2 linked regions of the Oryzias latipes genome follow. Each later gene encodes a partner of the first gene's protein in a complex. Links are inferred from orthologs where the notes say so. Each region holds a gene or a part of one and is shown on either strand. Other genes may lie near its edges. The genes, in order: gtf2e2 and polr2h.

Region 1 (15,934 bases):
GACTGAGCGTCAATTGTTGATGCTTTTTGACCTTGATGGCCTTGGCGGCGTTGGGAAGCCCCTCCTCCACGTCGTCCAGCAGCACTCCTCCCAGTCCCAGCTGGTCGTGTTTGTCCAGCAGCCTCAGTAAGGCCTTCTTGTCTTTCAGGTTGTACTTGGGCTTGAAGCCGTACGTTCCATCTCGGACCTCGATCTTTGGGTTGTTGACCAGCGCCTGAAAGGATGTTTATTTGACTATCATGCCGTCACATTTAGCAATCGAGAAAATGTACATTTCTGTGAAAACAGGTTAGGTCACATTGATGTCAGCCAAAGGTTTTCTTTAATATGTCATTTATTATTCAGTATTTAGGATTAAGGTGGTCAAAAATGAGCAAGCGTATTTTTTTTTAAATACTGCATGAAAACATTGCAATGCAAGACGATAAAGGGCTTTGTTGTGTGTTTGATTACAAGTGTGTGAGGGTGTGTGTATATGCATCCAAACGGGATTTGTGTTTGTGCAAAACAAAATGATCAAGGTTTGTAATGCGGCCTTTCCACAAGAGTTTTTTAGGACATGTTTAAACCAAAAAGTGTCTCCTGTCTGTAATTAGCGTGAGCTTTATTTTGAAGGTTTGACACGGAAGTTGATCACGTCTTCAACAAAGATCTGCTCTTTGCGGAGGAATGCTGTTTTTTAAATGAATTAAAAGCCTTACAATCCAGAAGAAAAACAAGATAAATGAATCATAAATATTCAGGAATATTGGGGAATAAAAAAAAGCAACAAAAGGAAGTTTCACGCTTTTAAGGCCGTGTCACACAGACGCTAGATCGCGGCAGACCCTAACCCTAATGCAGACTTCAAAGGCCATTAACCCGCTTATACCATAGTCATTTACAAAAGAAATAAATATTCAACCACTTTTTAGAACTTTATTTATACAGTTTGGATTGCTTTATTCGCAAAAAGCAGACTACTTTTTCCGCGGTGCAGCGCGTTGACATGTTTCCGTGACAACGCGGCGCTCAGCCGGTACTTACCTCGACTGCAGTGGCGAAGGAAAGCGATATATATATGCTGATCGTCACGATGGGTTAAATAAAGCATCATATGAAACAGAAAAACTGTAACTGTTACAGTCGCTTGTTAAAATAAAGTTTTTTCGAGGAATATTGGAAAAGGAGACTTCCAGTTTCGGTTGAAAACTTCTGGGTCTGACAGATGAAGTTGTCGTCTAGATCCAGATCCTTGTGGAATTTCTCTGTTATTTTTTGGACAGATCTCATTCATTGAAAAGGTTGATCTTCAAAACGAACTGAAGTCGCAGTGCTGCTGCTTGGATGCTGGGTAAATGTTTCTAACAAAACACCAACTCCATCACTTCACAGCTGGGAGGAGCAGCAAACTCACCTCTGTCATGAGCCAATGCTTCTGTTTCATACTGATGTCCAGAAGTTTGGTCTCATCCAGAATCTCATCCAAAGCCAGGAAATGTGTGTCGCCATTCTGATGTCTGGTCTGTAATTTCACACCAAAACAAGTCAGAAAACATCACATCATATCGGAGTCTCTCAGTGAAAAGGCGGGCCGTGCATCTCTCCATTGGTTTAGGGTAACTTGGAGCCGCTGCATTCAACAGATAGATGGCTCAAAGAACACAAAGAGAGAATCGGTGGAATGAAGTGGGAGCCGATTCAGTCAGTCGGGGAGATTGACACGGCCCACTGCTCAGCTTGGATGGAGAGAGCACAAGCAGGTCAATGATGTGGATGCTAATGTGGGGGCTAAAATGAACTTCACACGTTCGTCAAAAACATGTGCCGGGGAAAAAACAAATAAACAAAAGAGAAAAAAAAAACATTTTTTACCCTGGACTACAAACAGAAAGCATCATGTTTACCTTCATGTAATTGACGATCTTAGCCAGGCAGCCGAATTTGTACCCGGAGCTTGCTTTGATGTTGATGTTGCCATTACTGCTCTCTGTGAATGACATTTCAAAATAAAAGCTTTTTACGGTTGAGATTAAAGCCATTTTGGCAAACACAAACTTAAAGTCCCACTCCGATCATCTTCTGATCTATTGTCAAAGTGTTCCCAGTGGTCTTTTAATTATGATGATGTCCGTTTTAACGCCCAAATCTGAAAACCTGTGTCGTTTTCTAGGACGTCGTTTCTGCAGAGCGGCAGGAGTTCATTCCAAATTTGCCTCTAAGGTGTGGACGGGGAATGTTGGTGCGGAGCTACACCACCCCCCTTTCCCCTCCTTGTTGCTGAGAGCTCTCTGTTTACATGCTCGCCGAATGTCCAGCGAGGAAAGCAAAGGCATTCGTGGATCTAGTCGTCTACAGGTGGATGCATCAGAATGGAGCGGAGCAGGGAGCTCATGGCCCGCCGACCGTTTCCACGTCACAAATATCATCTTTTTCAGACGGTGTTTTCTCATCTACTTCTAATTCAGGAGGATTTGAATCAAGAAAAAACTCAAAAGGGCTATTTCAAGCTAAATTTTCAAAATAAAAGTCCTCTGTCAGCAGAAAAATGCCAGAAAAAAAACCCTGTTAAAAAACAGCAAAAGCACGATTTTTAACAAATGGGTCTTTAAAAATAGTATTGCATTTCCTTGGGTTTTTTTAAGCCGTTTTTAATCTGTTGCTCTGATAAGACATGAATATTAAATGGATCTAGCATTTGGTGAAAACTTAAGTGATTCAGGCTGTGAGCTGGAGCCTCTGCAGCTTTAAGCTGCAGAGTAGGCGGGACGTTACAACGATGACAAGCTGGCTAACAAATGGAGCTAAGGCAGAGGAAAAGAAGGGGTGTAAGGGGGGGGGGGGGGGTCACTGCAAGGAGTGGCGGGGGAGGAAGAGGAGGAGGAGGAGTGTATGGACTGAACCCATGACGAGTGCAGGCTGAGAAGAGGGGAATACCGACAGACAGGTGCAGCAGTGAAAAGAGGAGAGAGCATCTTCTGTCTTCTATCTTCAGCCACAGCCAGACAGGTGAGTCTGCATGTTTCTCTGAATAGGATTCTTAAAATGGCACTTTTTTTTAGGATCTGCCATTTTTTTAAGGATTTTCCAGTTGATATTAGCAATCATTTCTAAAAGCTACTTTTGTGCGCGCTAACGGCAAAAGCAGCCCTCAATCTCCTCAGCTGTAATATTCCGAAGCCAGGATTTCTCATGGGTACGCTTGATTAAATAAACATGGATCAGTCTGCGCTCCTCGGGTTTCAGGGACCATCATTCCAGGGACCATTTCCGTGAGTGTCCCACGTTCGGGCGCCGTACCTGTGACAGCTGAAACGCACAAAACCTGAGCGAACAAACGGACGCACAAATCAGTCGAGACTGAGAGGAACCAGACAGCTTTTTTTTTTTTTGGAATGCGTGTTGAGAAAAAGCAAATGTGTGGCTCCAATGCCGCCCACAGAGCCCGGCCGGGGTGGGGCTCGCTCGCTTAGGGGAGGGAGGTAACAGATGCTGCACCGTCCCGGTTTTTGTGCGACTCCTCAGGAAGGATAATGGATAAGCCGAGAGAGCATTGGTGAGGGGAGATGGACAGAAAAAGGGGGGGGGAGGGAGGAGGCTGGCCAAAACACATGCAATAAAAGAGGCTGTTGTCATAGCGACGAGTGATGATGAAGCTGTTAGTGCTTGATTAACAGGGAGAGGATGCTCAGTGTGCAGCAGTTAGAGACGAGAGGCGGGGAATGACAAACGGACGCAACCACAAATTAATTCCCAACTTATACACAATACAAACTTTGATCGTGTTTACATTTGTGCTTAAATTCAACATTTGATAAGAACTTCACCAAATGTCTCAGCAAAAACACATTTTTAACAAAGTTCGACATTTCCAAAGCTCGTGAAAAATAAGAGAAGCAACAAAAAAGCACAGTGGCTTTTTAAAGAATATAATTTGACGTCACTTTTTGTTTAGGAATCCAAAAATAAGAGGCAGAATTCTTAGGAAAAAGTTCATAAAAGAGACCAAGTCTCCCCTTAGATTATTCAAAAACGTTTAAGTATATAAATAATTGTCCATTTTCAAACATTCTCAGACTGCAGTTACCTTAATCAGTATGCTTTAGTCAAAATGTTAGGGGATGCTAGTTAAAAGACAAAAGTCCAATGTAAGACAACAAAAATAAACATACAAAAATAAAGGTTATATTTCTGTGGTTCAATTTATAGTTAATGTTGATGCATTTTTGAGAAACACATGTCAAGCTCATAAAGTGAAACCCTGCTGGTGCGCGCATCGCTTCAGGAAAAGTTACATGACCAATACAGCTACTGTGTCGATGCGTCACAGGAGCCCAACACGGAAGCGCAGATTCCTTGTTTGCCAGATTCTGCTGTTCCTGAATGTGGCAAATAGATTCTGCGCCAGATTCTGCAGTTTTCCACCCAATCGGGTGATTTTGAGTCTCAGCTATCTTTTATTTTGAAAAATATATATTTTTTTTAAATTACCAGATCTTCTCGGCGTTAAACCAGTCCAGCAGCAAGTTTAACAGCGTAAGAAAAACTATTTTTGATGCCCTGGACGTACGCCCAGGTTCCAGCTGTTAAATGATTCTCTGATTTTGTTTGATCTCATTTACATATCTGCTATTAAATCAGTTGTTTTGGGCACTTGCTCGAGCACTTTTTTAAAAACATAAATAAAAGTTATTCCAAAAGCCTTTTTTCTGCTTTGAAAAACTGCTACAGACCATTAATGTTTTTTTTTTTTCCTTTCATTTTTTTTTTAGCCACGGATCATGGCGAACGCCACAGCTACCGTACCCCCCTCCCTCCCCGAGGCCATCCCCATGTCCCACGTTTCCCTGCAGGTACAGGAAGTCTACCCCTTCCACGACGGTTGGAACGTCGCCTGCTTCGTCATCCTCCTGCTCTTCATCCTCACCGTTCTGTCCCTGGCCGCTCTGGCCGTTCTCTACGAGTTACTGGACTGCGGCTGCTGCGCCAAAGGGAAAACGCGCCACCAGTTGCAGCAAGAAAGGTCGGGAAGCTGCAGCAATCTCATGACGAGAACATGCAAGGAGCTGGAGAGCCACACGGAGGTGGTATAGCAGCAGCACAGACAAAGGAAAATGGAAGAGTTTGGGGTTGGGATGCCCAATTTATTGCCAAAACAAGCACCCCTGATACCATAGACTGTCTATTTGCATGCATCCAATTCAGAGGCAAAGAAAAAAATGAATCAATGTTCCAGAGTATTCTGTACACAGAAACGTTTGCCGAGTTAGGGCTTTAAAGACTCATGTCATCTTTGTTTAGTTTTGTGTTTTTTTGCCGTTCTTCTATGGTAAACACACAGTCGTGAATTTGTAGACACAATAAAGGTTTTCGTTTGGCTTCCCACAAACCCGATAAAAGTTGATGGAAATCTTTTCTTTTGGGTTAAAAACATTGTGGTATGATAAAAAAGAATTGTTATAAATAAACATGATTCATTTAAATGGATGTTAAGGCGAGCCGAAAGTTGTAATTGTTTGTAGTGGATGTATAGAAATCAGCTGCCACTCTCATGTTACCAGGTGGAAAATCTGACATTTCTGAAACTTTTTTAACAGATGAAGACGTTTATTTTCCAAAAGCAACTAAATGAAGTGATAAAATCTAGCGTTGGACGGCTGTTGGTCAATGTGGTATGTTGGCATTTTCATGAAGACAAACATAAAAAGACTAAAGAAAATCAATAAAAATGAGATCTAACAAAAAGTTTGGTTAAAGAGTTTGAATTTTCTTTCTCTATATTTCATGATTCTTATGAATCAGTCCTTTCATCCAAAGAATTCTTTTAGGCTTTATTTATATTTACTATAAAAATGTTAGAAGTCATTTTTTGATCTGTGCACACCTTTAAAAAAAAGCAATGACAGCAGAATTTTGACCACTTTGCTTTTCGTAATTATTCAAATATTTGACTCAGAATAACCTATGAGTGACAGATGAATGAGTTTTGATTGCCTAGGTGTTACATCATCCATCCATTAAAAAACAACAACATTTAAACCAAACAAAAGAAAGAAAACATAATCCTTAAAAATAATCTGCCAGTTTCACTCAAAGACCCCCTCCGATCATATTTTGATCTATTGTGAAAGCGTTTCCATTGGTCTTTTACTTAGGAGAAGGTCATTTTTAGCTAAAAATTAAAAAAATCTGGGTCGTTTTTCTAGGACATAGTTTCTGCAGGGTGGCAGTAGTTCATTGGAATTTCACCTGAGTTGCGAGTGGGACCAGCGGCGCTGTAAGGAGCAACCCTACCCCCCCTTCCAGTCATCCATTACTGAGCTCTCTGCATATCCTCTCTCATAAGCTTACAGCCTCTCACACACCCAACCCAACATTGGTGAGCAAACTTAAGGTTTACGCCAGATGGCAGCCCAGGCGAGGAAAACAAAGACGTACATGGATCCATTTGTCTGCAAGTGGGTTTATCAGAATGGAGCGGAGCAGCTTGTGGCACGTCCAGGAGAAGCTCAGTAACCAGATATAAAGCATGACCTACCAGTGCTGTGTTTGGAGCCAGAGGAGCCTTCCTTGTCTAACTTGGGCTTCTTCTTCTTGTGGGATCCAGAGTCTGATGCAGCTGGTCTCTTCTCAACAGCCGGCGTGGAGAGAGCTCTTTTCTTAAACAGCTCCCTCTCGCGAAGCAGAGCTGGATCCATCCAGGCTGGTGGACAAAAGCATGTAAACACAGAAAAGGCTGGATAAAATGCAGTTTTACTAAGCTTCAAACGTTTAAATTAAATATAATTTATGAAATAAATATAATACTGAAACAGTGAGGTGCATCATCTCCATGCATATCTATTATACCTGGTATGTTTACCTGGTTCTTTTCTCAATCTAATCAGTGATGCAGCTGTTTTACTATTTTTTCTTCAAATATTAAGTAGAGCATAAGGATTATTATTAGTAACTAGATTTGATGTTAAAACATTGTCTTGACACGACAGGATTCTGTTCTTCAAAACTACGGTGTTCCATTTGTGCCAAAAATAATTGTGTTCGGTTCTTCTACTGACAATATGGGCCAAAGACATGGAATTACTACATTAACAGTGACCAAAGAAATACACTTAATACAGAAACAGTGGACTAAAAACTCAACTCAAAACATATTTAAACATATATATAACAGAAGTTCGCTGTTTGTCCGATTAGCTTCTTCTTCAGTTTATCGGGAAAAAAAAAACTTCATATAAGCAGCTAAAAGTCATCGAGATGAACCTTTAGAGTCCAGTTTCCCCAAAGAACCGAATCCCGTGACAGCATGACCCACATAACCGCTAATTAATGTTCCCGCATTGTCTAACACCTAATGTGATGCTAATCCTAGTGTTAGCATGTCAACGTTACCTGCTACTGTTGAGTTCTTCTTTCCAGAAAGTGGCGAATAAGTCCCGATAGACTAATTTATAAACTAAAAAGTGAAATAGAAAGACAATTTTAAGCTTAAGTAAACTCAAGCTTACTTTCTAATAAAAAAGTATTATTTTTGTATCCATCATGTAACTGTTTCGTTTAGTGTTCGAGTTGTCGGTTATCGTTATCGTATGTTATTCCTTGGGTGACGTCTTCCGCGTGCAAGCAAAAACCCGCAGCTGTGTAGCTCAACATCGCCACCTACTGGACTGGAGGACAGTCAACTTATTTCAGGCAAGAGAGCTATTTTGGTTAGGGATTCTGAAACTATAGCTAAAATAATGAGTGTTCTGTTTCACAGTTTTTAATTCTTGCCGGAACGTTTAAAAACAATTAAATAGTTTCAGCAAATGTTTCTCCCCCAACATTTTCAGTTTTTAAACTGAAAATTATTGGATATTATTATAACCAACAGTTTGTAATAAGACATTAAAAGTATTATTTCCAACACCTGACTGTAATATGTTCTGTTTTGCATTGTGGTGTGATTGCCATTTCGATTATAAACATAATCTTTACAAGTTTTCTTTGCCAAATTTTGTGCTTTGACCAATAAAGTTTAATCTCATTTCTTGTTAAAAGATGAAACACTTAAGTGAAATGTTAATAAAGTTCCAGGATTTATTTTTGAATAATATTTTTAATTTAAAGCCTTTTTTTTTCTTTTTACTGTAGAGGAGCCTACAGCACGTAGTTACAAAATACATTACGATAGCATACCTTTTGCAGTTCTAAAGGGGTGTAAAGCATTACTATGACATTAAAGTCATTACATACTTAGTAATGAGACGAGAACACATGAACAAAAAAACTCTGCTAAAAATATCTTTATAAACTCATGGTTCATCACTTTTAGCTTAGAAACAATAATTTAACTTTTGATTTCTTGAACAAATGTGTTTATCTTTTTTTTTTTTTTTTTCTTGAAGAAAAAAATGTATCTGATCAGTTATTTTTGACAAAGTGTGGTGATTGGAATCATTATTTAATAGACAGCTCCACTTTTCCTGAGGTAAACAGACCCCTACGGTTCTCCTGTCACTCTGTTATCCATTTAGGTAGATGACTCATAGTTTTATTTTAACAACAAAAAGCTGTGATTCTGCTTCCTGTACTTTCACTTAATGATTATTAAAGCTTATCGCCATTTGTCTTAGAGTGAAATGCTTGACAGTACCTTGTCACTTCCTCTACTTCTGTAGGTCTTACAAAGAACGCTATAAGTAATAATTGATTACGAGTCATAACTTTATAAGTAATAAAGTTATGTAACGCAGTGTAACTCTGACACAGTGACAGTTTGGAGGTAACAAACCCCAAACTGTAAACAGAAATAATACTAAAAATAATTTTACTTTCCCTTTATTATTACTTTATAAGTAATAAAGTCATGTAATGCAGTGTAACTCTGACACAGTGACAGTTTGGAGGTAACAAACCCCAAACTGTAAACAGAAATAATACTAAAAATAATTTTACTTTCCCTTTTTTTTCTCTGACTAGTAATCAATTTTATTAGCGAATAATGAGGGCATATACAAGGAATTTGGCTTCAGTGTCTTATTCTCTCATTTGAAAGGACAAAGCAAACAAGGATAAAGTATAAATAGGCGTAAAAAAGGAAAGAAAAACATGAAGATTACATTTAAACTGGTTTAAAAGTTCTCATGTTTGTGGTTTCATACTCTGTAACTGATTCTCCTTATTTGACCTCAAGTTCCCTTGTTGTTCACCTTTCGGCGTTTCCCTTCAGGGGGTGGCCACGGCGAATTAGCTTTCACTGATTTGCACAGGTGGTTCGGCAGAGATTTTTTTTAACGCCGGATGACCTTCCTGACACAAGCCTGTATTTCATCCGGGCTTGGGACCCGGCACAGGGGGACTTACCGCGTAGGGTTTTACCTAAGGACCCACACTGGATTCAGCTCATCGTGCCCCCTGGGAAATGAACCCTGGTTTTCCACAAACCAGTCCTGCATTCAGCCATCCAGCCGCTTTTTTGACTCTAAGTTCCCTGAATTTCATAAATCCCAAACAATTACCCATCATTCCCTCATTATTTCAGTCTGCAGGCATGGGAATGTGAGCTATATTCTATTTATTCTACAGAAATATGTGTTATTAATGAGGCTGTACATAAAAACACATTGAAGTCTAATTAAGTTTGTTTTAGAAATCACAGGGTTTTCAAAGATGTATATATTTTTTTATCCAGTTCAATCCTAGTTGCAATTACCACAGAGAGAACTCATTCAGCATTTTAAAATCTACTTAAAAACATGCAACTATATGCTACATTTGTTGGTACAGTAATGAATATTTTTCCCATCCTTTTTCTCCCTTTACTTTACGCTTTCCATTTGGTTAATGTCACTGCGTATCTTTCCAGACACTCCTCATCCATGAGTGGGAATGGCTCATCTCCAGAGGAAAATAGCTCAACATCACCACTTAGTGGTTCATTAATTTTTCTGCCTCACTTATGCACATTTCTCTCAACAGACTGGCTCTGTGTAAATTACGCTAAAGCAAATATTTGCACACAGTTATTTTAATATACTTGCCTGAAAAATATTTTGTTTTTCTAAGCCTGGTGGGTTGACAATAAAAGATTGGATATTAGTTTAGCAATTTTTTTTTAAAGTATTTTGGTGTTTATTTGCAAAACTGTGCAGATGAGTGAATAAAACTACATGAAAATAATATTTCCTCCACTACCAGCAAAAGAAAAGCATTTTTTTAAATCAAATATGAATGAAATAACTGTGTTTTACCCTAATTTCAGCAGGTTGAGTTGGTGGAAGTATTGAATTGGGCTGGCAATTCCAGTCAGCACCTCTAGGGGCGCTAACTCGCCAAGACTCGTACTGTCTGTTTAAATCCACCAAACAAACACTTTGACTTCCTGTTTTGGACTAAAAGTTATTGGTATCATGTCAGTTCAACAGGTTATCACTAGATTACTTAATACTAACCTAAAATAATCATAATGAAACTACCTCACAATTCCCCTTACCAAAAACTAGTCTATTGTACTACAAGTATACTTAATCTATACTGAAAGTGAGCTGGTGTACTTGAGGTCTACTTTTTATATATTATCTATACATTGTAAACTTAAAATCTTCAAATTTAGTCAGAAGTATTTAGTTAGTATACTTCTTACACTTACAGGTACATGATCAGTAGTACATTTGTTGTACTTATACTCAAGTATACTTAGTCTTTACTAAAAGTGAGGTGGTGTACTTGAGGTCTACTTTTTATATATTATCTATACATTGTAAACTTAAAATCTTCAAATTTAGTCAGAAGTATTTAGTTAGTATACTTCTTACACTTACAGGTACATGATCAGTAGTACATTTGTTGTACTTATACTCAAGTATACTTAGTCTATACTAAAAGTGAGGTGGTGTACTTGAGGTCTACTTTTTATATACTATCTATACATTGTAAACTTAAAATCTTCAACTTTAGTGTGAAGTATTTCAATAGTATACTTCCTACACTACAGCTACATGGTCAGTAGTATATTTGCAGTACTCAGTATACTTCATAAAATACATTTCAAGTTTACTCGTTTTTGCTGAGGGTCGCTCCCAAGATTGTTTTTCATCTCTTTGTTTAGATTACCCTGAGCAAAAATTAATACACCTGAAGGTTATTTCATTAGGTATACTTGAGTATAAGTATAATGTGGACCATGTACATATAGTGTAGGAAGTATGATAATTGAATACTTCTTCAGATTAAACTTGAACATTTAAAATTTACAGTATGTAGATAGTAGGCCTATGGAAACTTCAAGAGTACTCCCTCAGTTGTGGCAGAAACTAAGTGTACTTACATTGACTATTTTTGCTAAGGGTAGATAATATACAAAGAATTTACTTGTTTGTTTTTTAATTTAAATTGAAATTACGTTGGGACACCTTTGATCGACAGATTCATTAAGCTCAATTTTCAACTAACTTCACCAATTAACATATGAAGCTTTTTTCTCTTTTTTGGACCATGTGAAGAGGCCTAAGGGGAGAAAACTGTACTAGGAGATTATGCAAAGTCCACAAAGAAAAGTCAGAACCAGGGCCCTGGGAGCTGGTGGTAGACTTTCGCAGGCACACTCACTCTACATTTGCACCGGTGAACATCCAAGGAAGGGACATTGAGAGAGTAGATTCATACAAGTACTTGGGTGTTCACCTCAACAATAAGCTGGACTGGTCACACAATACAGAAGCACTGTACAAAAAAGGACAGAGCAGACTTCATCTGCTGAGGAGACTGAGGTCTTTTAGAGTGCAGGGATCACTCCTAAAGACTTTTTATGACTCTGTGGTGGTATCAGCCATCTTTTATGGAGCGGTCAGCTGGTGTAGCGGCATCTCGGCAGCAGACAGGAAGCGACTGGAGAAGCTGGTGAAGAAGGCCAGCTCTGTTCTAGGGCTGCCTTTGGACTCAATACAGGAAGTGGGAGAGAGGAGGATGGTAGCTAAGCTATCATCCTTGATGGAGAACGACGCCCACCCCATGTATGAGTCTGTGTCCTCACTGTGCAGCTCCTTCAGCGTCAGACTGATACATCCTAAGTGTCTGAAGGAGCGACACCGCAGGTCGTTTCTACCTTCTGCCATCAGACTTTACAACCTTAGCTGGTCGCAGTGAACCACGTCAAACAACATAATCGGCTTGGTCTTATTTATCTTACCCAGTGTATTAACTGATTATATGGTCATCCTGTGTAATTTTTTTGGAAATGTATGTGTGTATATTGTGTATATATGTGTTTATACTGACTCCATAGTTTTGTTTCTTTTATATTTTGCTCTCTGTTCCTGTCCTGCTGCCGCAATAAGGAAATTTCCCCATCGTGGGACTAATAAAGGAATATCTTATCTTACTGTCAGGTGGGAGAGCTAACCACTACACCACTGTGCCGCCCTATTTGTCCCGCCTGTTTGCCTATTTCTGAAAAAGGTCAGTGATGTCATAAATGACTTTAACTGCAAAAAATTTAAAAAGGGCTTTAAATAGGGTCAAATCCATCCAAACACAAGCTCACCAAAAACCCACAGAGAAAGCAGAAACCAGCATCTCGGATTTGTGTTTTTTTTTTCTTTTTTAAAAACTCCTCAGTGGTTGAGATTTACTGAAAAAGCTGCTGCATTTTGGAAACAGACACTAAAAGCAGTGTCTTTTCTTTTATTTATTTTTTTTACAGATCACCACACACGGGCACACTCGCCGTCCCAGCCCCTTCCAGATGCTGCGTGACCGCCTTCATTCATCATACCAAAGCTATGCAGTGCTTTTGGAGGAAGGAAGGTGACTTCACCACTGGGTACTCAGTCGAGAGGAGTAATGAGATAACACCACAGTATCACCAGGTCACAAAAGGGGGAGAGAGAAAAAAAAAGGGAGATAAGCACTCAGCAGCAGCAGAGGGTGGACTATCGGCGTCAGAACAGACCTGCAGGAAGGAAATGCAAGATGTTCTTTTCCAATGAAAACCTGCTTCTCATGCCCAGTGACACGAATCCCGGCAGCTGAAATGCAGGATGTTTCATTGTTTTCCTCAAGGATCAACATTAATCCATCAGCATTCGGTTTGTAGCCTATTTTATTTAGTTTGAGCTGCTTTATGTTCCACAGCAGCAGTGGTGTGTGAGGTAAGGCACACAGAACCAAAATTTGGATTTAGACCCCACTGTGTGAATCATCTGCCACACTAAGCTTCTGGCTTTTTTTAAGTTTCCATTAAATTAAGCCTAATAATTAAGTTAATGCCATACAGGTGTCAAAAATATGTTGAAGAAAAAAAATAGCATGTAGATTGGGGCGGCCATGGTGCAGTGGTAAGGCGGTTGACCTCTGATTGGAAGATTGTAGGTTTGATTCCCACCTTTCCCGCCCATGCGTCGAAGTGTCCCTGGGCGAGACACTGAACCCAAGCTTGCTTCTGGTGGAAGGCTGGCGCCAGTGATAGGCAGCGGATCCGCCATTAGTGTGTGACTGTGTGTGTGAATGGGACTGTAGCTGTAAAGTGCTTTGGGCACAGCCTCACCTGTCATTATGGGAAGAAAAGAGAAAAAATAAATTCAATTATTATATTTAATCAGTAATTTGTGCTTTGCAGTCATTTTCCATTTAAATGTACCATTTCTGGGTGTTTTTTCTTTTCAAAATCGCTGAATTTGCCGTTCAGATACTAAGTAGTGACGTGCGGTGAGGCACCAGCCCGCTGAGCCTCACCTTGGATTGCGCAATACCTATGCAGTCAGACGGTACTGCTGTCTCTCTGTATGTCGGTTCAATCACTTGTACTATATGAGCTGAGTTTAGATAATTTAGCAGATGTATATGATGTACAGTGTTTGTGTTTATAAATAACTGTATATGAGGGATGTGTTTCTTGTGCTGAGCGCTAAACGCCGGCAAAACAGCCGCTGGGTGAGGCCAGGAGTTCTCGTGCCATGTTAGGGGGCGCCGGTGAGCCCTGAGATTATGACGCTAAAAAATAATAGAATAAGTGATAGCAAGCGGCAAGTAATTTTCTTCAGAAGGAGCGGCGTATGGACTTTATGTACAAGTAAAGGTAAGACGATAATAAGGTTTGTGCTTTTTCTATGCTGCAGTTTGTATATGAAAAAAACATGTTGAAATGATATTTTAAACAAAACACGTTAACTGTTGTCAGTCAAATGGTGAATAAGATACTCAATATGGTTCATATGTTTGTAAATCTGACTGATGACGTCAGTGCCTCACCAGCCATTAACCTCACCGCACATCACTGGGTGATGTGGCACTGAAGGTTGAAGGTTGCAGACAAAATATTTAACAGGACTTTAAAGACTTAAAAAAGTTTCCATCAATTATAATAAACCTTAGTGGGGTCACTTGTGATAAGAATCCCAAAACTTTTATGGTTTCAAGCTAAAAAAAATTGTTTTTCAGGTTCACTTCAAGTGCATAGATCATTATGCCAATTATAGGGTTTGATCTGTTAGGAATAAGATGCAATAATTGGTCATCTCACAAAAAAAGGGAAAAATGAAGGACAAGTTTTAAACATGAGTTATGTATGACAAAGTTAATAAAAAAATCCACTTCAGATGCTTTCAAAGCATAACGATCTGTGCAGGTGAACACAGAACAAGTGCCAATTAGAGGGACGCGGTCTGAAAGCAGCCGATTGACATGGAGGCTGAAACATGAATTGTCTCCAAGCAGAAACGACAGAGTGAGTTTGTGTTGTTTCTCACACAGCTGAAGGTTTTGCTTTTGCATGGATGTGTTCTGCGTGCATGACTCCATGTGCATGCAGTAATGTTACACCGCAGACACAGAGTCTGGAGGTGAGCGGCAACATCAAAGAAACAGATTGAGCTAAGTGGTGAAGCTGTCGTGCAAATCCCTGCGGTGAGAGAAGTCTCAGAGTGACTGCTTTCAATTACCACTGTACGAGAAAGCGTGCGCGCATCACCTGTCAGCACTTCTGAGCTCCACAGACTTTTGGATGTTTGGTAATTGAAAATGCACAGCGTGCAGTGCAGACAGAAAAAGAAAAAGTCGGGAAAAATCACTCACGTACACAGACTTTATCTCTTTTTCTATTTTCTGTGTTTTTCTGAAATTGAGGTTTGCCTTTTCCTGTAGCCAGACGAGACAAAAGCAACATTTATGTTCATTGTTTGTGTTGATGCTGCAAATGGCCTTAGACATTTGGAGGCGTAGTCATTTTCATTACTGAGGCAATGCTTGTTTTTCTTTCCATCTACATTTGTACCTTATTGATTAACTGACTCTTATTGTTTGCTGTTGATCATTTTTTTGTTGCATTTTGTCAAGCTGAAGCAGGCAGACAAAAGCTTTTATTTTGCAACAAATGCATGAATCACGTTGCACAGGCACCAAAATTTAAACGCCTTTATTTGGAAGCAGAGACCAAGACATGCGCGTGTTTTTCTAAAATCCGTTTGCCACTTCCTGTTATGGTGGCCTGCGAGGACCTTTTTTTTTTTCCTTTTTTCTCTCTCGCAATTCTTAGTTGCTGCATATCCTAGCAAAAATGTCACTCCTTCTATATACTCAAAAACTTAATAAAATTTGCACACACCCAGTTTCAGTTGCTCAATCCCCCCCCCCCCCCCCCCATTGACATTGTTTTAACAAGATAACTACATCATTTTTCCATAGGAACAACTTAAATTTTTCCTCTTTTTCCACGTTTTCACATGATGACATCATTTTTAACACGATAACGACAACGTGTTCCCGCTATAACGACATTTACCTTTCTTTTTTTCCCTGCTTACTTGTCACAACATTATAATTTCATTATCGTGAGAATACAAGTTTTTTTTTTTATTGTGAAAAGGAGACCATGGGAAAGTATTTCTTTTTAGCACGATTGGAAATCAGTTATGATCACCGTATATCTGCTCGTAGACCCGCCTGCACAGCTGTAGACCAAGATTATCAGCACAATCTC
Region 2 (16,047 bases), on another chromosome or scaffold:
CTGAAGTTAAAATGTCAGTTTTACAGTACTAACTTAGTGAGGACAGACTGGATTTAAGCTGTGGATACTTTTTATGGCATTGTAAAGTGTTTTATATTCTGTTTATTTTTTTTAAATGCCTACACACATAAAAGTTTGCTAAAAGAAAACAAACACAAAAAAAGACCCTAAATCTCAGCCAACTCCCTGAATCTTACCATACAAACCCCCCCAAAGAAACCCATAAATACTACCAAAGGTGAGATAAATCCAAATAGAAGAGCTTTTGCTGATTATATTATCTTGTGTTGCAACACTGAACAATAACACAGCCTTCCTTTTGTTTCCGTTATATCATACGACCTCAGTTTAGTCTGTAACTCTTGCTCTTACAGATAATATTGCATATCAGCTCAGTATGTGTGTGGGCGTTAAACAACACGCCAAATTAGCTTTCGTTCTAAATGAAAAAAGGTTTTCTTTTTAAAGTCAAGTCATGTCATGTAGTGAAGCGAAGTGCTCTACATATTTACCGGTAGTCAAATAAAGCTAATGAGTTCTTTGAACTATACGAATAAAATAACTGCAAGTATTTAGAAGGAAAAAAAACTAGTTTAGCAGCTGATTTGATGTGTTAAGGAAAATATAACTCTTCGTTAGACTTTTGCCATTGAGAGAATTACAGAAGAAACAAAAAAAGGTCAGTTATATATTTAAGAACTTCCTGAAAGTAAAATAAAAGGATGAAATAAAGAGGTAGCACCAAATTCTACACAAGCACTGGTCAAGATCAAGGATGGTATGAACTACTGCAGAAAAATACCAAGCAAGTTAACAGTGACATTTTTTTGAACAGTGAACAAAAAGGATTTTTCATTGTAAAGCTTGTCCTTGTTTCTTGCTTAATTTACTGGAAGACACCGGTATATCACTTCCAAAGGTGAGGTATCTATTTTATGATCACATCACTTTCCAGAAATTGTGCCACCCCAGATAAAGGATCTCAGCTCTTGTTCTGGGAACAAATACTACTACTATTACTATCTGGATATGCCAAGTTATGCATCGGGCTCGGAAAAACTCATATTGTGTACTCACTGTGCCAGGCCTTGTGAAATCACTACTCTGCCTCATCTGATTGTTGAAAAGGCGAGCATACACACTCTGGAGATACTCAGGCGAGATCTAAAAAAAAACAAAAAAACATCACATCAGCTTTAATAATCTGTCAAATGACAGCCATTTTTTTGTCATGTCCACATGGTATTATATTTTAAAGGTTTTTAATTTGCACAGTGCACACTAAACTCGCAAACATAAGTCTGTGAGTGCACCCACTACATGTGCGTACTGGGTTTCTGAGGCGGCTTACCATTTTCCCACTGATTGTGGCTTCCAAAGAATCAACCAGCTCGGCGGTGATTCCGATCAGATTGTGGTAGTCTGCCTGCATCTTGTTAAACTTCCTTAAGCAACTGGAAAGGCGACGGTCCGACTCAGCAAGCTGAAGCTGTAGCTGCTGTATAATGTCTGAAAAGTAACAAGAGCTCATAAAGACATGATTCAGGCAACTAAGGTCCATTTGTATTCTTCCAATTTATTACTTCTGGCAAATTTATTATATTTAACAACATTTTTCAGGAAATTCTTGCTTGGACTTTTACAACTTTACTTTATTTTACAAAACATATGTTTATGTTAATTGAAAATTTATATAAAGCAGTGTTTCGCTATTACTCTTATTTTGTTTAGAGATGTTATAACACCACTATAGTTCAGTTTATTTCTTTTGGTTGAGGTGCTAGCATTAACAGCAATCTTGAATTTCTCCTCGGTGTGATCACTAAAGTTCAATTCAATGCCAAGTATAAAGATTTTTTCAAACAATATTAAAAGTGTTTTAAAGGAATAAATATATTATTTAAAGTATTTCAACTGAATAATTATTCTGCAGGTACATTTATTTGATCATTGTGGAGATATTCATCTTTTTTTAAACTGTTTTGTATTAGCCAAATTAGTCTCTAGCACTTACATCCCAGGTTTTAGTAAATAATACGAGCCTTTTGGAATTCTTTACCTGTAATTAGTTATATTTTTAGTAATATATTACACTTATTTGATGATTAATTATTTACCCTTTAAATTGGCAGTTTCATTTTATTTAGTGTTGATTAGCATCATTCTGCTTTTTCATTAACTTTACTATTTCTTTAACATTTTCTTTCTCCACATTAGAAATATACTGTATATGAACTACTTTAATACGTAAATTATTACCTTTCCTCTTGAGACACAGAAGTATTGATAAAACTTTCATCCATGCCTAAGCTTTGGCAAACTGTTTATAAAAACTGCCCAAAGCATACATGTACGGTACATCTTAATCAGATGTATATTTAAGAGGTGTGGTCTTTGACCCTAAATCCTTTAGTGTCATAATCCAAAGAGCAATATTAAAGGGTGTTCAATGTAAATTAGTTAAAACATTTCTTGAGAAAGGAAATAAATACGGAATTGGGAGGGTTTGATAAGTTAACATAATTTAACATTTTAACAAAGTGGAATTCACTTATTTAAAACATCTTTTAACTTAATTTACAGAACAAATCAACCTATTTTAACAGTTGCATGTTATTCTGTACCATCATTCTGAAGGTTATTTACCTTTAGTAACTTTGCCGCCCTCTTTCTGGAGGATGTCTGTTAAGAATGCATACATTATTTGTTATTTTTCTAACATTAATGTTCTGTAGGATTTAGCTAGAGGCACATGTAAAGAAAGAAGGGAGTGAGAGAGACAGCCATATACAGGATCTTCATAAAGCTTCACAACGGACAATACAAACATGCGTGTTGAACATCCTGTTTGAAAATCTATTTATTTTAGAATCAAAATTATATGTCCTATTGTATGAAAAGACGCAAGTACTGATTCAATATTTACTTACTTTCATTAAGTATTATGCTTTAACCAACACCCTTGTGCAGCAAACACACCTGTCATCTAATATTTTCAGAAACACTTATGCAATGACTTGTGAGTTTACACACATGCACATCTTTCACTGCCTACATAGGGGATGGCTTTGTTTTCTGAAAAGGTTTTAGGCAAAGCCTGACTCATTTCATTTTTAGAATAATCCAAAATTTTAATAAGTATCAAAACAGTATAAGGGCTCATGGAGAGGAGTTAAAAAACCAGTAAAAAAAAAAAAATTAAAATAAAAAGTCTTACACCTCGTCAGTGGCTAAGGTAAGGTGTGTTGCTTGAACATTTCCACAGCTATGTCATTCCAACTTGTCATGAGGTATACATTATTTCTTAAGCCTTTTCTTTATTTGTGTCTCTGTTTGTGGTAAAAGCCACAATTTTTGTTTGGGCATTTTTCCACTTGAAACTAGGACTACTAACAACTGTTAACCCCTTCATGCCTGACTTTATTTCCAGTTATATCATAAAATATTCTTTTGTGTTTTTTTTAAGCTGATCTGGATTAAATGCTGCATCGTGGATTAGCACCATACTGTGAGAAGGGGTTAAAGATATTTTTATTACAACACCCATTTTCTCCTTTTATTAATAATTACAAAAAAATAACAAAGTCGCATTTTTTTTTACATTAAATTGCCAATAAACTGAAAATAGGTTTATGGTAAAATCGGTCTTCCCTGTGAATGAAATGTAGGCATTACATAGTAACTACCAGTAGTTGCTTCAAAGTAGACATAAAAACAACAAAATAAAATGAAAACTTTTATAGACATTGGTAAAGTTTTATGGAAAAAAGAATTCTTGATATCAGCCTATAAAACCTAAAAAAATATATCTTAAAAATAATATTTTGACTTTTATGCCTATTACTATTTGTTACATTTCAAAGCTATGGAAGCATTTGTGTAGCACAATTAAAAATAAAAGTCAAAACCAGAAATGCTTTTTCATTTTCAAAATGAAGCTGCATTTTTTGACTAAAAGTTAAAATGAATTGCAAAATTGCATTTTCGTTTTAATTATGACACAGAATAAGCGTTTTTTTTAAGTAGAAAATGAAAAAGCATTTTGAAGCATCGATTTTTCATTTTAATTTTCGAGTCATTTGATGCAGTTACATTTTGAAAATTAAAAAGCATTTCTATTAATCCATTTTAATTGTCAAATTAGACATTTCTAAATGAGTTTTGCTACACATTTACCAGAGAACTTTTTGAAAATAAAATGTCAAATACCATTTTCTTTATCATTTGAATTAAGTGACAGAATAAGCAGTGTTGACGTAGAAAAGGAAAAAGCATTTTGAAGGATTGCTTTTTCATTTTAATTTTGAGTGAAGAAATGCAGCTTCATTTTGAAAATGAAAAAGCATTTCTGGTTTTGACTTTTATTTTTAATTATGCTACACAATCGCTTCCATACAAAGCTTATAATAAATGAACAATGAATTATATAGTTAAAAAATATTTACTTTTACATTTTTTCCGCTAAACTTAGGAAGAGTACTGTAATTCAATTTTAAACTGGCACTTAACCCAAAATGAAAAAAAAAAAATCATTTTGTTTAGTTTGTTTGTTTGGTTTAAATGATTACATTTTACACCCAATAAATACACTAAATGTTTTGAAAAGTGAGGTGTCAAGAGACGTTTCATCAGTGAGTGGTGGACAGGGAACCTGCTTTCACTTTCTGGTGTTGGTTTAGCTTCTTCTTGTGGATTAAAGAGTACAATAGGTGTCTACTAAGAGGTTTTAAGCACACATGTTTTTTTTTTCTGTTTTCACAACTGCCCCTGTCCATGCTGTCAAAAGTATATATTCCTGGTTTCAGAACATTGGACCATGTCTGTCTGTGCTCACCACACTTACCAGACACTCACTAGTCTATGAGGTTTTGTGTGTGGGGAAAAAAAGATACGAGATGCAAATAAACTCTGAATAAGTGGGAGGAGTTTTTCCTTCTTTTGTTATTTATTCTTACTTTATAAAATTACAATTCTACAATAATAAATGTCTATGCCAAGAGATTATATACTGGTATAATATTCCTAATATGTAACAGGAAACAGGTGCTACACCTCTGTTTTGCCTGACAGTTTTCCCAGCAAAAGACCAGACCAATGAAAAGGATACATATAAAGTCATCAGCCTTGGAGTCTTGGAGGGTTTTAGTGTCATTGTCAGGAATTTGTCCAGTCTTCCCTTCAACTGCTGAATCCAGGTATCCTAAAGGTAGAAATACATTGTTTGACAATAATGTCAAACCCTGTTGAACTCTGTGGTACCCAGTAATAAACAATGAATGAAAGTTAAAGTCAAAGAAAGTTTCCTTTTGATCACCTTAAAGAGATCTTTGAAGGAAGGGTGAACAGCAGGGAAGGGAACAAAAGGCAAAGCATAGTAGGGCAAAAACTCTGCGTTTTGGCTCAACTCTGCTCCCCGAGTTTCAAGATATTGTTTGAAGTGGGAAATCCGCTCTTCAAATTCCGTACGGTCCTGGAGAGGAATGGAAGTTAGAAAAAAAATGAACCCAAATAAAAAATGGTGCCTTTAACCCTTGTGTTATCCTAGGCACTTATACTTTGGGAGTTGGGTCATCTAGACCCACTAGACAGTGCGCTGAACCTTTTTTCTTGAGAACACGTCAATGTGAGGGTGGGGTCATAGGATAGCACAAGGGTTCAACTCATAGCCATATAATTCCAGCTTTATTGAATAAAAAAAAGCAAAGCTTGTAGCACAACCTAGTGGACAGCATTAAAAACAACAAATCACAAGACTACTGTTTTCGTTTTTATGAGAACAAGGAACAATTAGATTCACGTACTTGTCTAACTGGATGGCTCCTCAGTGGGAAAATGGTGAAGTGGACATGAAGGTAGAACTCCAAGCCCTGGGTCTCAGCATCTAAATCTTTCACCTCAGAAGGAATATTCTCTTTCCACAGCTCAAAGAAAACTTTGTGGTCTCCATCGTCAAAAGAGCTAAGAAGGTCTTCCTTCAAGTCAGATTTAAAAAAACATAACAAACAAAAAAACTTGAAAAGAAAATCACTAACAAAAACATTCAACTGTTCTTATGAACATTTTATTAGTAAAATAATCTGCAATCTGGTCAAACATTTTTCTAATAGGCTAGACTAGAAGAAAAAAATGTAGAAATGCAATTTCTCCATATATGACTTGTATATGTGGAATCATTTTGTGTCTGCAAATATCTTGTTCGGGTTTGTTTGTTTATTTCAGGAATCCCCACAAGTCTTCTCCAGAGTAAAGATTATTCCTTCTGCGCTCTATTTTTTTAAATATACACTACTTACTGTTTTACACATAATTAGAACAATCACGATACTACACATATAGAAAACTTCAATCACTTTAACTAACATTCTAAAAGTATGCATGGTTTCAATGCTTTTTATACCTAGAATGGTCTGTAGCCTACACATATTATCTATAACTATCAGGGGGTTGACAATTCTTCTTTCTCTTTCGGCTTTTCGCATCAGGGGTAGCCACAGCGAACAAGTCGCATGGTAAACTTGGCAATGTTTTACGCCGGATGCCCTTCCTGATGCAACCTTCTCAAAGCAACCGGGCTTGGGACCGGCACAGAAGTAGAGAAGGGAACATCAACTTAATTGAATATTAGATTTACAATCCTAAGATTCAACCAAATCGATCTGTCTGAAGTAAGCCATTTATAGAAATAGGTCGACCTATACCGTTATAAAATCATTTCAAAATGAAACAAATCGATTATAATCAATATTGGAAAATACCGTTTCGATTGAGGTACGGTACGTTTATTTTACTATAATGTTAAAACTACCAAGTGCATCACAGCGGACAAAACACGTGATGGCAGCATAAAACTGATCAGTCCGTCATTACTTTGAATTTAGTAAAGACATGACCATACAGTGTGGCAGAATGTTCTGATAATGTTTAATTTGTATTTTTTTGTGGAAAAACAACAGTGGGTTGAACTTTATGAAACTAAAATGGGAATGGATTTGCCATTAACTCTTGTTTACCGGTACTTGTTTGTTTGCACACACATTTAATTTATACTTGATTATTTTGCAAGAGATACAAGGAATGTGGAAAACTTCACCTGCACTGATTAGAACCCAGGTATTTTTCTCTGAGTGGAATTGTTGTTAAAATGAATCCTTACACCCCTGATTACTATCAAGGACTAAGATATCTTATGAAACGTATAATTTACCTGAATGACACGAGTCTTTGAGTCTCTGAGAGCGTTTCCTCGAGGCTTGGAGACAAGTTTGCCTTTGCTTTTACATTCTTTGTCAAAAATTTGAACCGTTTCTTCAAATTCCCCAAACTTCAGGTACTAAAGAGAACAAACACAAAGTGTGTTAATTATACAATCACCATCGTGGAATACATTGAAATGTTAGATCAACTATCAGAATAAACAGATTATGGATTTTAATTGCAGTTTTTTTCTTCACATCCCTATCATGCTTTACCTCTTTAATCATCCCAAGGAGATCGGCTTCAGTTGCCAAGATGTCTCCCATCTTGGCTGTCTTAGTTGAACTCATCCGTGGACCACAGCTGTCAAAATACCGGCCGTCATTTGGGGCTCAGTTTGAAATTCCTTTGCACTTACAAAAAACAGGTAACAGTCTGAACAGACAGAATAGCACAGACAGGCAAAAAGAAAAAGAAAAAAATACTTCAATAATTTCACGTTTTAATGTAAAGATGACCAGTCTTGCTTATTCGAACAAGAGCAAATAATTACAACCTGTATTAACTTGTACGGTTTCAGTTTTCTTTCCGAATTATTATTTGTTTGTTCCAACCGAGGTTACTGTAGTTGTATTCAATTCAATTACATTGTATTTATAGCCCAATATTTACAGCAATAGTCATCTCAATGGGCTTCATTCCGGTAATTGTGTAATAAACATGAATCATAAAGAACATAAAGTCATAGAATTCAATAGCTGATTGCTAAACTAAACAGAAGAAACTAAGTGGACATCCCTGCCCTAAAACTAAGACCATCCTAATGTTACTACTATGATCAAAAAAAAATTATTTTCATCTTTGTATGCATTTTATAGCGGAAAACACGTTAACTATAACGGCAGAGATTTGAAGAGCTGCAAACTGCAGGAAGCTAGTCAATAATTGTTTCAGTCAGGTTTGTTCACATGATGAGCGTTCCTTACCTCGTTTGACCATCTTTTCTTGGTAAGAATCCGCATTAGAAGTTTCATTAAATATTTTATTTATGCTTAAAATGTATATTGGTAATTATTTTTTCGATATAATGACGCTTATGGTAAAAACAACAGCCTTAACATTAGCTAGCAACCGTCCACACAGAGGACGCTAAACGCACCTAGCAACAAGATGACGACAGACGGAAGTTAGTAAAAACTGTCGTAAAATTAGTTCAGTTGTTGGTTACTTAAATTATCAGTTAAATAATTGAGAGAAAACAAATACTTTTATAAAAATCTTTTTTTTATTTGCTACGTAAAATTTAGCCAAAATATTATTCGTTTTTTCCCCATCTTTGACCTATTGTGAGCCTTCAAATAAAACGGTAGGCAAATTTAATTGGTGTTATTTTAGTGATCATTTTTTCTACATTACACCATCGCAACGCATTTTTCCCTTTCTAAAAAATGTATAACATTCAGTAAAGCAAAACATGCGTCTTTCTTTTAAAAGAAAAAAAGAGACAAAAAAACGGAAGTTCTTGTTATGTCAAAGGTCGAACACGCTGGTTCTGCGCGGTACCGACTATTTCGCTTAATAATGAATGAAAATCTATCTAAATCAAATATCTGACGTCTAGGTTACATTATTATCGTTTTTACACGAATTCACCACATTCCAGGGCATACTATTTACACAAAAATACAAGAACAGCACTTGGGGGTAAGTATTATATTTTGTGTGGACAACATGATGCTACAGTTAGCGCGTAAGTGAACATTGTTAAAGTTGTCCAAAGTTGTGACAAGTTTTGTTCACCCACTTTGACACGGTGGGAGAGCTTTGTGATTTCCATTTGTTTTGACCTATTCCTTTTTCTTTTTAACTTGTTTTTAATTAATTATAGTCAAGATCGGGACCAGAACGCTTAGGAGTGACCAGGTTAGACAGGATAAGGAACGAGTACATCAGAGGGACGGCCCATGTTGCCTGTGTTAGCGACAAAGTCAGAGAAGCCAGAATGAGATGGTTTGGACATGTTCAGAGGAGGGATAGTGGATATATTGGTAGAACTAGAAGGATGTTGGAGATGGAGCTGCCTGGCAGGAGGCCAAGAGGACGGTCAAAGAGGAGATATATGGATGTCTTAACAGAGGACATGAAGTTGGCTAATGTTAGGGTAGAAGATGTTCATGATAGAGTGAGGTGGAAAAGGATGATTCGCTGTGGCGACCCCTGATGGGAAAAGCCGAAAGAGAAAGAAAGAAGAAAGAAGAGTCATAGGAATTTCACACTGAAACTGTGAAAAACACAATATAGCACTCACTGCTATAGTGTGTTTTTCTTGATTGACTTGGCTACGTAAAATGCTTTGCTGTGTGACTAACCTTCCCTTTTAATTTTGTTTTATGATGAATCTGTTTTAGGTTTAACAGAAAGGGATAAAGATGGCTGGGATTTTGTTTGAAGATATTTTTGATGTGAAAGACATTGATCCAGATGGCAAGAAATTTGACAGAGGTATGTGGACTGTCACTGTAAAAACACAAAAACGATCTTCACCAGTAGATAGTTTCAGTTGTAAAAGTCATAATTACAATTGTATATTGCATTTTTGTTCATATTGTGTTAAGTGTGACTAAAAAATTGTGTTGTCAGTAATTACAGCTTTTATTTTATTATTTTATTACAGCTAAACATTACAGTCATCACATTACTGAGTTGGGAAACCTTCAATCCTGCTTTTTAGTAGCTTTAAAACTAACACAATAACAAACATAATCATTATATGCATTTGCTTGAAAAAGATGGATATCTAAAAGCGCGTTAGTCAGTTTCATAATGTTTTCAGTTCTCTTTAATATAAACTAATACAGGTTATTATTACTTATACTGCAGTGTCTCGTCTGCATTGTGAAAGTGAATCTTTCAAGATGGACCTGATCTTGGATGTAAATACTCAGATTTATCCTGTTGATCTTGGTAAGAAATTAACAATGTCCTTTATTGTTTATGTCTTGTTTGATCTTAGACATTTGGCCTTTGTGGAGGAATTTTTAAATTGATTATTGGTAGTATTTAGTGAAACTGTCATTCTTCACTCTTGTAAGGTGTTGGTGCAGAATTGATAAGTTATTTTAACTCAGTTTTGACTCAATGTAAAACTATTGTATTAGAAGTGTAGCTTGATCTTAGGTGATTATGTACATTGCTATGATAAATCCAGATTTTTTTTTGCATGTTTCAAAAAGGGGACAAGTTCAGACTGGTGATTGCCAGTACATTATATGAAGATGGAACGCCAGATGATGGAGAGTACAATCCCCAGGATGATCGACCATCTAGGCAAGGCATTTAAAGAAGATAAATGAACATCCATGTCTTTCAATCTGTGGCAGATAATGTGTGATGCTTTTGATTCATCTTCCATTTTTAAATTGTTTCTAGGGCAGCTCAGTTTGACTATGTAATGTATGGAAAGGTCTACAAGATAGAAGGCGATGAGACCTCAACAGAAGCAGCCACGCGTCTGTAAGTTCTACACAAATGCATGTAGATCATTACAATCCTTTATTTAAGTTAAAAGTCAAGTGCTGTCAATTTAGTGATTAGTAAAAATTTAAATAAACTGTATGTATGTGTAAATGTTGATCAAGTCCTCTAATGATGTGCTTGTTCTTTCAGCTCAGCCTATGTGTCTTATGGAGGCCTTCTCATGAGGCTGCAGGGAGATGCCAACAATCTACACGGCTTTGAGGTAGACTCCAGAGTCTATCTCCTCATGAAGAAGCTGGCCTTTTAACCCCCCTCCTCTGTTTTCTACCGCCTTCATCCACCTTTGTAAAACTGGGATCTAGAAAAGTGGAACATATGAACATCTTAGAGACAAAACACCATGTTTTTGTAAACCTCTGTTGTATTTTTTATAGTTCCTCCAACAAACTACACTGAGGTCTGTGATTTCCACTTGGTGGTACACTGTAAATAAATATTTCTTTCTTTTATACAAAACAATTACAAGTGTTGATTAACTTCATTTTATAGCGATGAATACTCTTCAACAGTGTTGCAGAACGCAGCAAAATGAAACCTGGAGACAGAAAATTGAATTATAGGGAAATAAGCGGCTTTTGTGCGCCAAACAGGACACTTAAAGACTGTTATAACAAATGTCACAAGATGGGAATCACTCTGACTCACTGAATACTGGTATGTGCACACAAAGCTTTAAACACAAACAGAATGGATTCATGTTGTAAAATAAAGTTTTGCCCTTTGTGGTACTGACATGTATTTTAGCATAAAGTCTGGATTTGGGCTTTATGTAGTTATCCAGCTGATATGTGATCAGTTGCATCTCATGATATGTATGACTTGTCTAAAAATTTCAATGCTTTTGCTAGTAGAACAGTTTAAAATCTTCATCTCTTACTTCCATTTTAGTTTTGTCTGCCTTGTTTCAGCAATGACATTTTCAGCTGCATTCTGCTGCTTATGGTTCACTTCAGATTGCCTGAGCCAAAAATCTATTTTTTTTCTATTAGTACAGCTCATAAAAATTGACATGCCATCAGTGAAGACCTTAAATGCAAATAATGAGAAGTTTCCATTTTTCCAACCAGCCTGACCTTGAGTCAATTTCATGAAGGGTTTATTATATTTAATTGAAGACTATTTTATTGGATTAGTCATGCAGTAAGAACAACACGGGAATACATGCTCCATACAGACAAAACATAAATGACATTCCTTCATTTTGAAGTTTCTTTATTTTTCTAAAATAAATTATAATTCAAATGAGAATCTGGAAACCGGAGAGGATCCCACTTTTTGAAAAGTACCTTTTTACTCAGGCACTGAACAGAGGATGCAGTGGAATCTTGGATGATGAGGTTTATAGTTGTCACCAAACTTTGACTCATGTTTATTTTAATGTTTCATCCAGTTGAACAGTTGACTCCTGATGATCATGAAATGCTGTGAGGAGAGACAGCAGCTTCATTTTGCTAACCAACTCTTAGGGCAGCAGGAACACGATTGAGGTTTAAAAGGTTCTGATATTGCTTCTGCATTTTGATTTGGACTCAGATAAATGAGGAGTCATTGTAATACATTTTAACTTGATCTAATCTTTGCTTAAAAAAAATCCCTTTTGCTATTGAGGATTTGTTATTTTGTCTGGTTTTATAAATATCTGACAGAAAAATTGCTGTTACATATCCTTCATGGTAAAATCTGAAGTTTAGTTGACTTTTTTTTATCATGCAAGCTTAAATAAATGTGAAAACAGGGTAGTTCTATCATGATCCCTGACAGCATTTTGTTAGACTTTACTGCAGGTGGTTACATGACATCATAACAAATGGTTAGGCTCTAATCAACTTTTCCTTTTTTTTGTATCTGTTAAGGCATCTAATTAGTTTAAAAAAAATGTCGGTGACGAAATTGATCTAAATTGGGAACTGGCTCTGAAATCAGTGCAAAGCGCGCTCCCGAGACAAGACTACTCCTTTCCAGGAGTTCGTTCCTGCACAACACCGGAAAAGACGGTGGCCATGGAGGGGCATGTCGAATTGTTTTCTTACGAAAAAGCGTTGCTGGACTTTGATTGACCGTATGTGAAGGATCTTCGGGCTCCTCTTTGGTCTTAGAATCGCCCCAGGCATTGCTAAAATATCGTATTTAAATCGTGGAGGAAAATGCTGATGTATTTTGAGCTTTTCTCAGATGAATAGCCAGGTTTAGCATCTTCCCCAGCTTTAATTGGAAGCCTCGCTCTGTGGATTAGCTCAGCTGTTTGTCAAAGCATGAGGAGCGCGTTCAGAGAAATGATAGAGACGGGAGAATAGCAGACCACACCAGCAAGATGGATAATCGCCGTAAGAGGAAACTGACATTCGCTACTATTGGACTCATTTTTCTTCTTAGCGGTGTGGAATATGGTAAGACCCCTTTCTGTCTTTCTGACGCTCTTTATTATGGACAGACGGGTGATAAGGATTTAGTTATTAGTTATCGTAAACAGTGTTTTTCAACCTTTTTTGAGCCAAGGCGCACGTTATCCTGGACAAAAGTCCCGCGGTACTCCAGCATCCAAAAATTAAAAAAGGAGAAACTCTAGTCTGTATTGATTTATAGTCCACCCACAATCTCACGTGAATTTTTGTGATAATTGTGGTAGAAAAAGCTGGAAGTTGCAGCTGTTTTTGTTAGTTTTCAGTAATTGTAACTTAATTATTTGACATTTTACCCTGGTAGTTGTTTTTTTCCTCCTGTTTATTAACATACAATTTTATGTAACCTCACAAAAAACATTAGTCTTTCTAAATATTGATTTTTTTTTTTAAATGTTGGTAAAATAAATTTTTTATTTTTTTACAATATGATCACAAATGTGTTTGATAAATTTTACACAAAAAACTAACATGTTTATGTTTATTGTAGCTACACAAAAAGTGAAAATGTTGAAGTTTTATTAGTTTTTCTCTTGTCTTAATCAAAAATTAAGTCTTTAACAAAAATGTTTTATTTCTTTTTGGATTATTAAATACGTTTCAATTTATTTTAAATGTGTCTGTTGGCCACTTCACCTTAATCCTGTTTCTTAAATGTTGCTATTACTTCTACTTAGGTTTAACTTTTCATTTTTTCACAAGTGATTGAAGTCTGAAAGCGAATTTGTCTTTGAATCCAGACATTATTAGAAAAGTGTTTCAGTTAGAAAGATGACTTGGACCAAACTCTGGGATGTTTGGTTGTTAATAAACACAAAGCTTGAAGGAGAACTAAACTGTTTATCTCTGATTTCATCAAGAAGATTTAAAAACTGTTTGTGTTTTCGTTGTGGTTTCAAGATGTTTAACAGGGAAGACTCTTTGTACGCCAAGATGCTCTCACTTTAACGCTATGCACCATGGGAGATGTCGTGATGACAGACAGACTCGCTTCTCTGAGCTTCATTGTTTTGTCGACTTGTTCCACGGTCTGACATCAGATCCCACGGAAAGCTACACCGCTAAAGACAAGCTTTAGCTGTTTTTGTTGGAACTGAGAGACTTTATGAGCAGAATCGGGACAAGCATGTGAAGACTTTAACCACTTCTGATTGGTCGTATGATTGAGCCTCCAAGAATGATTGGTGGAGACAGTTAAAGGGGCAGGACTTTTCCGAAAACAGCTGAAGCTGTGGTTAAATCGCGTTACCTTCATTCTTATCAAAGTGTCTTTTATAGAATCAAATAAACACAAAGAAAAATGTATTTTATGATCTTTCATATTCCTAACCGCTTAGTGTTTTATCAGGCCTATTTGGATGAACACAGAGCTGATATCCTGGAGATGGAAAATGTTTTTAGATCAGTGAAAAATGGGCAATTTCTCATGGCACACCTGACCATCTCTCACGGCACACCGCAGCACACTGGTTGAAAAACACTTCTAAAACAGTCAATAGTTTGCTTATAATCATGTTTTATTATCCACAATGATACAGTTAGAATTGCAGTGATTATAAAGAGTCAAAACTGATGCATAGCCTAAAAAAATTGAAAACAAAAAAACTCCAGATATGCGTTTTTTTTTTTTTTTTTTGGCAAACGTTCACTCTCTTAGGTTTCTTCCTTTTTTGTTTATTTTTATTTTTTATATGCACCCTAATATAAAATCAGACACTGACAGTTGCAGTGAAAAAAAAATAATAAAAACAATAGAAACATCTTGGATCAAGCCAAACTTTATTCATAAAGCCCTTTTCAAACAACAGTGTTTTACAGAATTAAAATTAAAAAAATCTTTCAACCTCAACTAAAATACAAAACAAAAATCAAATACCTTTACATAATAATAATAATAATAATAAACAACCACAAATTAACCTCACAGAAAATACGTTTTCCCCCCACAGATTAGCACAGGTGGATTGGCAGTGAGGTTTTTTGCACAGAATGCCCTTCCTGACACAATCCTATGTTTTATCCGGGCTGGGGACCGGCACAGGGGGACCCAGACATGAGCCCTTTTGTACGCTTAACCAACTGGGTTATCCAGCTGCCCTGAAATGACCTATAGATAAAAATAGAAAAAGCTTTATGCTGAAGTGAGAAAATTATTTTCTTGGGATCTGTCCACACCAGCAAATCAAATCAAACTTTATATCTAAAGTCCGTTTACAACTCGTGCTACTCAAAGTGCTTCACATAAAAACATAATCAAATTTAAAAAAAAAAAGGGCAAAACAAATATTTTGTTTAAAACCTACGCAATGCCACACCGCCCCTTACACACAAACCATGGTAAGAAAAATGATAACCTCCCCCAGTCAAGATCACAAAGGACATCTCCCCAGGATCCCCTCTTATCAAAGCGAGCAGCCAGAGCTAGAAGATCCCACTGCAACAACCCTGTTCACTAGGACGGCCGAGTCACTGGTGTGGAGGATTCCTCTGAGGAAAACACTGGAGTTTAAACAAAATGAAAATAATATGCATAAAGGTAAAAACTAATGTCCAATGAAACCTTAAGGCATTATGAGCACGTATAATCAATGAAAATACATAAGGGTCTAATAAACAACAATCCTCCTGGATAAAACAAAACAAGACGAATACATCAAATGTAATTATCAAATTGTATTTCTGAAATTCTGCCTAAAGCCAGGATATTCTGATCAAAAGATCCTTCAAATGTGTGTGGTAGGCTGATTAAAAAAAAAAAAGATACGGTATTTCTTTTTTTGTGTATTTGTTTATCCACTTATTCATTTACTCTAATTTTTGTGATCACAAAGGAGTAATTACTTTTTAATTGGCTCTAATAAAACTACAAAATAGGGATCTGTCTTTTTCTGTTATTAAATTGGACTTTTTTCATTGT

What was found.
Region 2: gtf2e2 (region 1) and polr2h share a complex: the UniProt entries of both Homo sapiens proteins name them as parts of the TBP-based Pol II pre-initiation complex. The link is inferred for Oryzias latipes from reciprocal best matches to the Homo sapiens genes GTF2E2 and POLR2H.

The regions. Positions count from the first base shown.
Region 1 is NC_019859.2:11,930,073-11,946,006, reverse strand, and holds the start of gtf2e2 (transcription initiation factor IIE subunit beta), read right to left. Parts: upstream 7,594-15,934; 5' UTR 7,372-7,593; intron 6,683-7,371; 5' UTR 6,678-6,682; coding exon 6,518-6,677; intron 5,724-6,517; exon of another isoform or gene 5,073-5,723; coding exon of another isoform or gene 4,761-5,072; exon of another isoform or gene 4,752-4,760; intron 2,989-4,751; exon of another isoform or gene 2,839-2,988; intron 1,970-2,838; coding exon 1,887-1,969; intron 1,505-1,886; coding exon 1,397-1,504; intron 215-1,396; coding exon 32-214; intron 1-31. Other genes in the region: smim18 (small integral membrane protein 18), read left to right, coding at 4,761-5,072. UniProt on the Homo sapiens protein: Recruits TFIIH to the initiation complex and stimulates the RNA polymerase II C-terminal domain kinase and DNA-dependent ATPase activities of TFIIH. Both TFIIH and TFIIE are required for promoter clearance by RNA polymerase.
Region 2 is NC_019862.2:11,770,104-11,786,150, forward strand, and holds polr2h (DNA-directed RNA polymerases I, II, and III subunit RPABC3), read left to right. Parts: upstream 1-8,409; 5' UTR 8,410-8,560; intron 8,561-8,707; exon of another isoform or gene 8,708-8,898; intron 8,899-9,602; 5' UTR 9,603-9,623; coding exon 9,624-9,696; intron 9,697-10,074; coding exon 10,075-10,158; intron 10,159-10,427; coding exon 10,428-10,521; intron 10,522-10,623; coding exon 10,624-10,707; intron 10,708-10,860; coding exon 10,861-10,978; 3' UTR 10,979-11,473; downstream 11,474-16,047. Other genes in the region: lisH domain-containing protein ARMC9, read right to left, coding at 1,078-1,164, 1,352-1,509, 2,647-2,671, 5,108-5,200, 5,315-5,470, 5,802-5,972, 7,205-7,330, 7,470-7,544; major facilitator superfamily domain-containing protein 8, read left to right, coding at 13,043-13,118. UniProt on the Homo sapiens protein: DNA-dependent RNA polymerase catalyzes the transcription of DNA into RNA using the four ribonucleoside triphosphates as substrates.